Saccharomyces cerevisiae S288C: one gene and its partner. The gene in region 2 interacts genetically with the main gene of each other region. Each region holds a gene or a part of one and is shown on either strand. Other genes may lie near its edges.

What was found.
Region 1: mutations in ADI1 (region 2) and SOL1 together harm fitness more than expected from each alone (negative genetic interaction), as found in Saccharomyces cerevisiae (2 studies listed by BioGRID).

Annotation. Positions count from the first base shown.
Region 1 is NC_001146.8:688,034-691,831, reverse strand, and holds SOL1 (Sol1p), read right to left. Parts: upstream 1,512-3,798; coding exon 546-1,511; downstream 1-545. Other genes in the region: ABZ1 (4-amino-4-deoxychorismate synthase), read right to left, coding at 1,834-3,798. UniProt on the Saccharomyces cerevisiae protein: May be involved in regulation of tRNA subcellular distribution.
Region 2 is NC_001145.3:281,887-285,141, reverse strand, and holds ADI1 (acireductone dioxygenase (Ni2+-requiring)), read right to left. Parts: upstream 1,041-3,255; coding exon 501-1,040; downstream 1-500. Other genes in the region: ANY1 (Any1p), read right to left, coding at 1-42; YMR008C-A (uncharacterized protein), read left to right, coding at 1,594-2,061; PLB1 (lysophospholipase), read left to right, coding at 2,558-3,255. UniProt on the Saccharomyces cerevisiae protein: Catalyzes 2 different reactions between oxygen and the acireductone 1,2-dihydroxy-3-keto-5-methylthiopentene (DHK-MTPene) depending upon the metal bound in the active site.

The DNA of each region.
Region 1 (3,798 bases), on a different chromosome or scaffold from region 2:
TTTCTACACGTAGAGTTAAGGTTTTTATATCCGTTGTATACCTACCACTGCTATGTATGTTGAATCATGTTTGTGTGGATAGTCTACACACAAAGCTTGATAATGCCATACGAATAAGGTGGTCTTGCAAACTGATTCTTCGTAAACTCTGTAATTAACATTTTGTTTCAATCTCTCACTTCGCTTAAGACCAAATAATCTCCTTGAAAGAAAAGAAAACTTAAAAGCATGCTTTTCTCTTAGCGGAAGCCATAGGTCCAAAAGGGAAATATCCACTGTGGTTGTTATTATTTTTTTCTAAAGGGTTATTGTATATATTATATATGTTGTATGTTATATATGCACACTACGTCACTAAGATGACTTGTTTTATATAAAGTTACTTCTCGAGAAAATTCAAAAACATAGGGTGATTTATTGCGATTACTAAAGGGAAGGGTGGGGATAGAAAGAGCTAAAAAAAGAAAATGGTTAAGGTTAAATCATAGTATTGTCATTAGTTGTCATTATCATCAGAAAGAAAAAGAACCCAAAAAATTAAACACCTACTCAGTCAAATTCTCATCATCATAAAACTTGTACTTCTTCTTAATTACAAAGACATCTTTCAAAGCATCGTCGTCTACAAACCATGAAACACGACCGGCGGCGCCCTCATTGACAATACTACTAGGCAATCCCTTTTCAGGCCTTTCCATTATTGTCTTGATTACAGGCGCCTTTGTGGCGCCCTCTACAACAAAGGTGACTCTATGAGAGTGACAAATCACTGGGATGGTCAGTGAAATCCTATTCGAAGGTCCGCTGGGTGCATTTTCTACAGGTATGACCCATGCCAGATTTTCACGTAGATTCTCTTGAAAATTGGGGAATAACGAGGCTATGTGACCGTCAGGAGCGCAGCCAAGCAGAAACAGATCAAACATCGGTAGTTTCACAGAATCTCTACCGGCAAATCCTTTAATTAGAATTTTCTCATAGTTATCTGCACACTCTTGAGGGTCGTTAATCAATGACTCATCAATGTGATAAATTTTCGGAGTTCCGTACTTCTCCGTATCTATTAAATCGAATATTTTTCTCTTAGCAAGACCGTAATTGCTTTCACTGGAGCTAAAGGGCACTAGTCTTTCATCAGCAAAGTAAATGTCCCATTTACCCCATTGAACGTCGTCTCTTTTCAACAATCCTTCGTGCAACACTTGGATTAACGAACCACCGGACAACGCAATCTTGAAGCGCCTTTCTTTCTCCTTTTTCAATTTCTTAGTGGCGCCGTCTTCACTACCACCACGGCTGGAGGCATTACTCCTTACAGAATTTACTCTCTCCATCGTTTTGGATTCTGTGTTACCATTTCCGTTAAGGCTCGTTCCGGACATCTGTGTGGACCTTGAGACTTTGCCCTTCTTAAGGGCAGAGTTTTGTGCGTGAATAACATGATCGGCAACTGCCTCAGCTACTCCTGCAAATTCATGGAATGCAAACACTTTAGGTACGGTTGTTGTCATCTTGCAAAAAATTATTCCAGTTAAAATCTATTTTCTCGGGCCTCTTTTATGTACTAAAATGTTATAATATCTATTATCTTATGGTTTGAAAGAATTCTGCTCCGTCAAGCATACATTATAACCTATTGATAAGTAAATTGGAAGGAAAGTCTTCCCTAAATGACCATGCTTTAACTTTTTTCCAATATCCTTTTCCAGGGTTTTCCACGGCACAAAACGTCATTTTCCTAAAGCGAAAAAAAAAAAAAATTCTGCATCGTACAAGAATAGTATATTATTCTAAAGAAAATGTTTGCATACATATCTAATAATATACAAATATCTACATGAAAATTTGTAAGTTGCTCTCCAACTTGTTGTACATTTCCTCTAGTTCGCCATCTAGTGTGCTTAAGACTGTTATGGCCCCCCCTGCACCGAGTTGCCAGCTGGTTCCGCCGTTGTAGGAATACATACATCTAATGTTAACAGACCAATCTCCGTTGGAATTCACAGACCAATATCCCGTGACACCGCTGTAAACACCACGTGCTCCACCATTGACATGTTTGTTTAGCTTGCTTTCTATCTTGTCCTGCAATAATTGCACAGTAATCTTCTTGGGGGCTCCCGTCATAGATCCCGGAGGAAGCGAGTGTTTAAGGACATCAATGCCTGAATATCTCGTCTTCTTACTGGCAGAGGTCAATCCATGTGCCTTTACGACGCTAACGAGTTGGTAAACGGTGGCATATTCTTGCACGGACATGAACTCCTCCACCCGAACGTCAGGAACCAACTCGTAAAGGTCATTTCTGATTAAGTCCAAAATCATTAAGTTCTCACCAAATTCTTTTGGTGTCTTCAGGATTCGTGTGGCTTTTGCCAAGTTCATTTGCGGTCCTTTTTTCACAGTTCCCTTGATGGGACGTAGCTCGCATGTGTCTGCATCCCACTTCAAAAACCTTTCTGGAGAAGTACTTAAGAAGCACAAAACTGGAGGCGTTTCATCTTGGCGGGGAATAATGTCTTTAAACTCAAAAAAACTTGAAAATGGAGCCGGGTTTCTTTGTACCAAGGTCTGGAAAATCCTCCAGGGTTCTATCACCGCAGATGGTACAACTTTGGTTTGCGTTGTGAGACACATTTCATAAGAATCACCCTTATGCATATAATCCTGACATTTCTTAAACGCCTTAGCGTAGTCAAGTTTATCGGGCATAGTTATAATGAAGTCTATCTCCTCTGGAAGATACTTGGGCCAGGACAGGGATTGCTTAATATTCTTCTTTCTAACAAAACTGTCCCTTAATGATTGTTCTAATGCCACTGGAAATGTATTATCCAGAGAAATACAATAAAGCTTCCCTTGCTTGTGATTAATGACTATACTATTGTTGATAAAAACTAGTTTGGCGTCGGGAACAAGGGAATTCTCATCATCATTGCAACGGCCGCATGCAATGTACTGACCTATTTCATAACCTAAAATGCCAACAAGACCTCCAATAAAAGGTATTTCTCTGTGGTTATCGATTATTTTATTCTCCATAAATTTACCCAAAGTGATCCAAAATTGGGATTTATCTTCATGTATTACCTCAAGGGAGCCAGGCAAATCCGAATCTTGACCATCTAGACACTTTTTCAACAAGGTGTAACTAATTTCACTATCTTGCCAATAATGAACTGTAGTCTTTTTCATAGCTCCATAATGAGTGAATACCTGGGATGCGGAGTTTGGTAAAGCAATGATAGACCATTCACCCGTATTTTCACTAATCACAGAAGATGACATGACAAATTTTTCTTCTCGTATGATGTTGCAAATTTCAAATGTCAATTTCGGGTCTTCAGAGACCTCGAACTGCTTAACGTAAGTTGTGTCCTCGCCCTTCGGATATTTCTCTTTTACCTTGTATATGGGGTCTCTATCAATAGTCCTATCCAATCGAGATAGGATATCGGAAAACTCTCCATTAAGTTTCTTCTTTTCCCACCTTCCTGTCTTCACGTTATTTATGAAACTCAACTTGAGAAAGTTACTGACTAACAGCCCCCCCAATTCTGAACAACATGACTCCGGGTGGTACTGTACGCCAAACCATGGCTTATTTTTCGTTTGAGCACTCATCAAAAGAATACCGTTCTCATCTTCGGTTGTGCATAAGGGCAAAAGGGTGTCAATGCCTTCGGCATTGACATGCAATGAATGGTACCTCGTAGATTTGAACGTATCGGGATAACCAGAAAAAAGGCCACAAGCTCTGGCTGCATCGTTTAAATGCATTTCATACACTTGCCCATG
Region 2 (3,255 bases):
GTCCCTTATTAAAGTAGCATCTAACGGACCTGTTGTTGACATTCTCTAGCTTTATCTGTGGAAAGTATTAATTTTTTATTGAATTTTATAAAGAAAGGAATGCAACAGTATGCGTATAGTTTTTATAAAAAAAATAGGGCGCTGAAACCAAATCAAAATATCAAATGTCGTATCGTTTTTGGCTTTCAGGATTGTTGATGTTTATAAATAGTGATAAGGCTTTGCTTTTTGATATTACGACTATGGCCTATACTTTTCACTATTCTCCATGGAAGAAGTATGCAAATAAATGGAGGAAAAGATGAATACTTGACCAACATCTAAATATAAAAATAATACGAAAATCGTTCAAACTTCCGGTGTTTCTTTTTCCACTTTTGGTGTTTTTTTCTTTTCCTATTTCACAGACTAAAAATCATTCTTGACGGGGAAGTCACCCTACGCTACTTTAAAGATATAAAGAAGTAAGACATTAAGAATAATGTATTATGATGCAGTATTTAGTACTGATTGATCAGGGCAATGTAGTCCTTGCGTACAGGCAATGAATCAGCCTGATTTGACCTGTTGATAGCTTGCCATTTGGGCTCGTCCTTAAACAGTCTCAAGGCCTTGATGTGGTTGCTAGTTGTCAAGGTGAAACGATGATAGATGCCTGGTGGAAGAATCAGTAAATCACCTGACTCTACCAAACACCTAATCCAGTTCTCTGGTGTGGAAGCATCCCTGACGTCAAAGTATCCAGCACCCTCGAGACAGTATCTTATTTCTTCGTCTTCATGTAAATGCTCTTGGTAGAATGTTGCTAGTTTTTCATTAAACTCTGCTTCACTTTTGAAGGAACCTTCGCAGATGTTGACCACATCTCTATTTTTATATTCTCTTTGCCTAGCAATTTCATTCACTTCTTCCTCATTTGCACAGTATTTATAAATCACTCCTAACTTGGCTAATTCATCCAGGGAAAGTTCTGTTCCAGAATTGTGGGGTGCGCGATAATCGGAGTCAACCTTGTTGTCATGAATATATACCTTAACCATTCTAACTTTTGACCTTTTTACGACCTTTTTTAGTGTCTTGTTTGGTGGTTATTGTTTTTTTTGATCTGCAGATGCCACCCTCTTTGTTCTTTTATACTTTGATGTTTTTCAATATGCATATTTCGGTGTTAGCGACTCTACTGTGGCGTCGCCCTGTCGAGCGGCTCTTACAAGGGCCCTTTCAGTCGTCAATGCAAAGAAAACTGGCAGAAATTACCTTCATTGCGCCGTTATGCTATCTTGCCTCTCTCCTGTTATTTAGAAGGCATCTCACTATCTAGACAGACAATACGACTTGCGCACATGTGAATCATTAACAAGATCGTGATTATCGCTACTTCTGCATAGTTTATAGGGAGAAAAAGAGAAGGAAAAAATTGTGTCAAAAACGGGCCAGAATATAAAAAAAAAATATTAATTGAAGAGTAATATGGACTATCGTAAAATACTTGTACTGAACGAGCAGTTAGTCTTGATCTAGAAGAGATGAAAATACCGGTGGGCGGTCGTTCAATCTTCAGCAATTGCAATTTTTTTTACGCATGCAAGATATATGTATGACTTACTCGAGCAAAAATTTTTTGTGCGGGAAATCAAATTCGCTTCAGCCTATTATTTACGCACCGGCAAAGCCCTGAACAATAGCAAGACTCCGATATTTCAGCGAAAGCATTCTTTGCCTGCGTGGCTTTCGTCCGCGGTTATTATTACTGCGCCTGTTAGCAACGACGGAAGTCACTCGATTCTATTTGCTCGTAAAACTCTAAGAATGATAATGCCTATGTTTAGTCCGCTTTTCAACAGAAGTCCTGACGATTGCCCTTCTCATCTGACCGCTACCCATATCTTTCAGCAATTCAGCGCTATGCTGGATTACGGACAGAGTACAAAGGAAGCCACTAACAAGCGCAGGTTAATAAAGGGTTCTGACCTACTTGTTGCCTTGGATCGGAATTGTATTCCTTCAGCCCCCTTTGTCCCCGAAATTGCCCTGCGTAAAAGCGGCGCAGTGGGGTCCTAACGTTTATTCCTTCCAAAGCTTTCTCATGCCACATAGTGCTAAAATAAGTGGACGCATGGGTTTCCTGCACGGACTTCTTCAAAGCGACCTAAAAAGTCCGTTTCTAACTTCGCCTTTCCTCATTATATGCGGTTTACGCCCTTATCTATAAAGGGAAATAACCTCATACAGTAACATGTCCGCTTATTCCCGCATATTTTTCTCAGTTAAGCAACATTCATTTACGTCTCCTATTTTTGCTTAGAAGATGACTTGGTTACTTTATTTTCTTCTAACTGCTTAGGTAAACTACATCATCTAATATATAAAGACGCTTCCACCACATTTAACCAACGGAAACGTCTCTTCGCTGTAAGGTTCTACATTTATTAGGTTATACTAACTAATCAATTCTTCGTTCTTTTCTTAACATTTCTCTCTTTTTTCGTTCATATAACGTAAATTACACGAAGCTATCCATCCTAAGGGCAAACGGGAAAGAAAATAAAACAAAACCATGAAGTTGCAGAGTTTGTTGGTTTCTGCTGCAGTTTTGACTTCTCTAACAGAGAACGTTAACGCTTGGTCACCAAATAACAGTTACGTCCCTGCGAACGTAACCTGTGATGATGATATTAACTTAGTCAGAGAAGCATCTGGTTTGTCAGATAACGAAACAGAATGGCTGAAAAAAAGAGATGCATACACCAAGGAGGCTTTGCATTCTTTTTTGAATAGGGCCACTTCGAATTTCAGTGACACTTCCTTGCTATCCACTCTTTTTGGTAGCAACTCTTCCAATATGCCTAAGATTGCCGTCGCCTGTTCTGGTGGTGGTTACCGTGCCATGTTGTCTGGTGCTGGTATGCTTGCTGCTATGGACAATCGTACTGATGGCGCAAATGAGCATGGTCTTGGTGGGCTGCTGCAAGGTGCAACTTACTTGGCAGGTCTGTCGGGTGGTAACTGGTTAACAAGTACTTTGGCTTGGAACAACTGGACGTCTGTGCAAGCTATCGTGGATAATACAACAGAATCTAACTCAATTTGGGACATCTCTCATTCAATTCTTACCCCAGACGGCATTAACATCTTTAAGACTGGGAGTAGATGGGACGACATATCAGATGACGTTCAGGATAAAAAAGACGCCGGTTTCAACATCTCTTTGGCGGATGTTTGGGGCCGTGCTCTTGCGTACAATTTTTGGCCAAG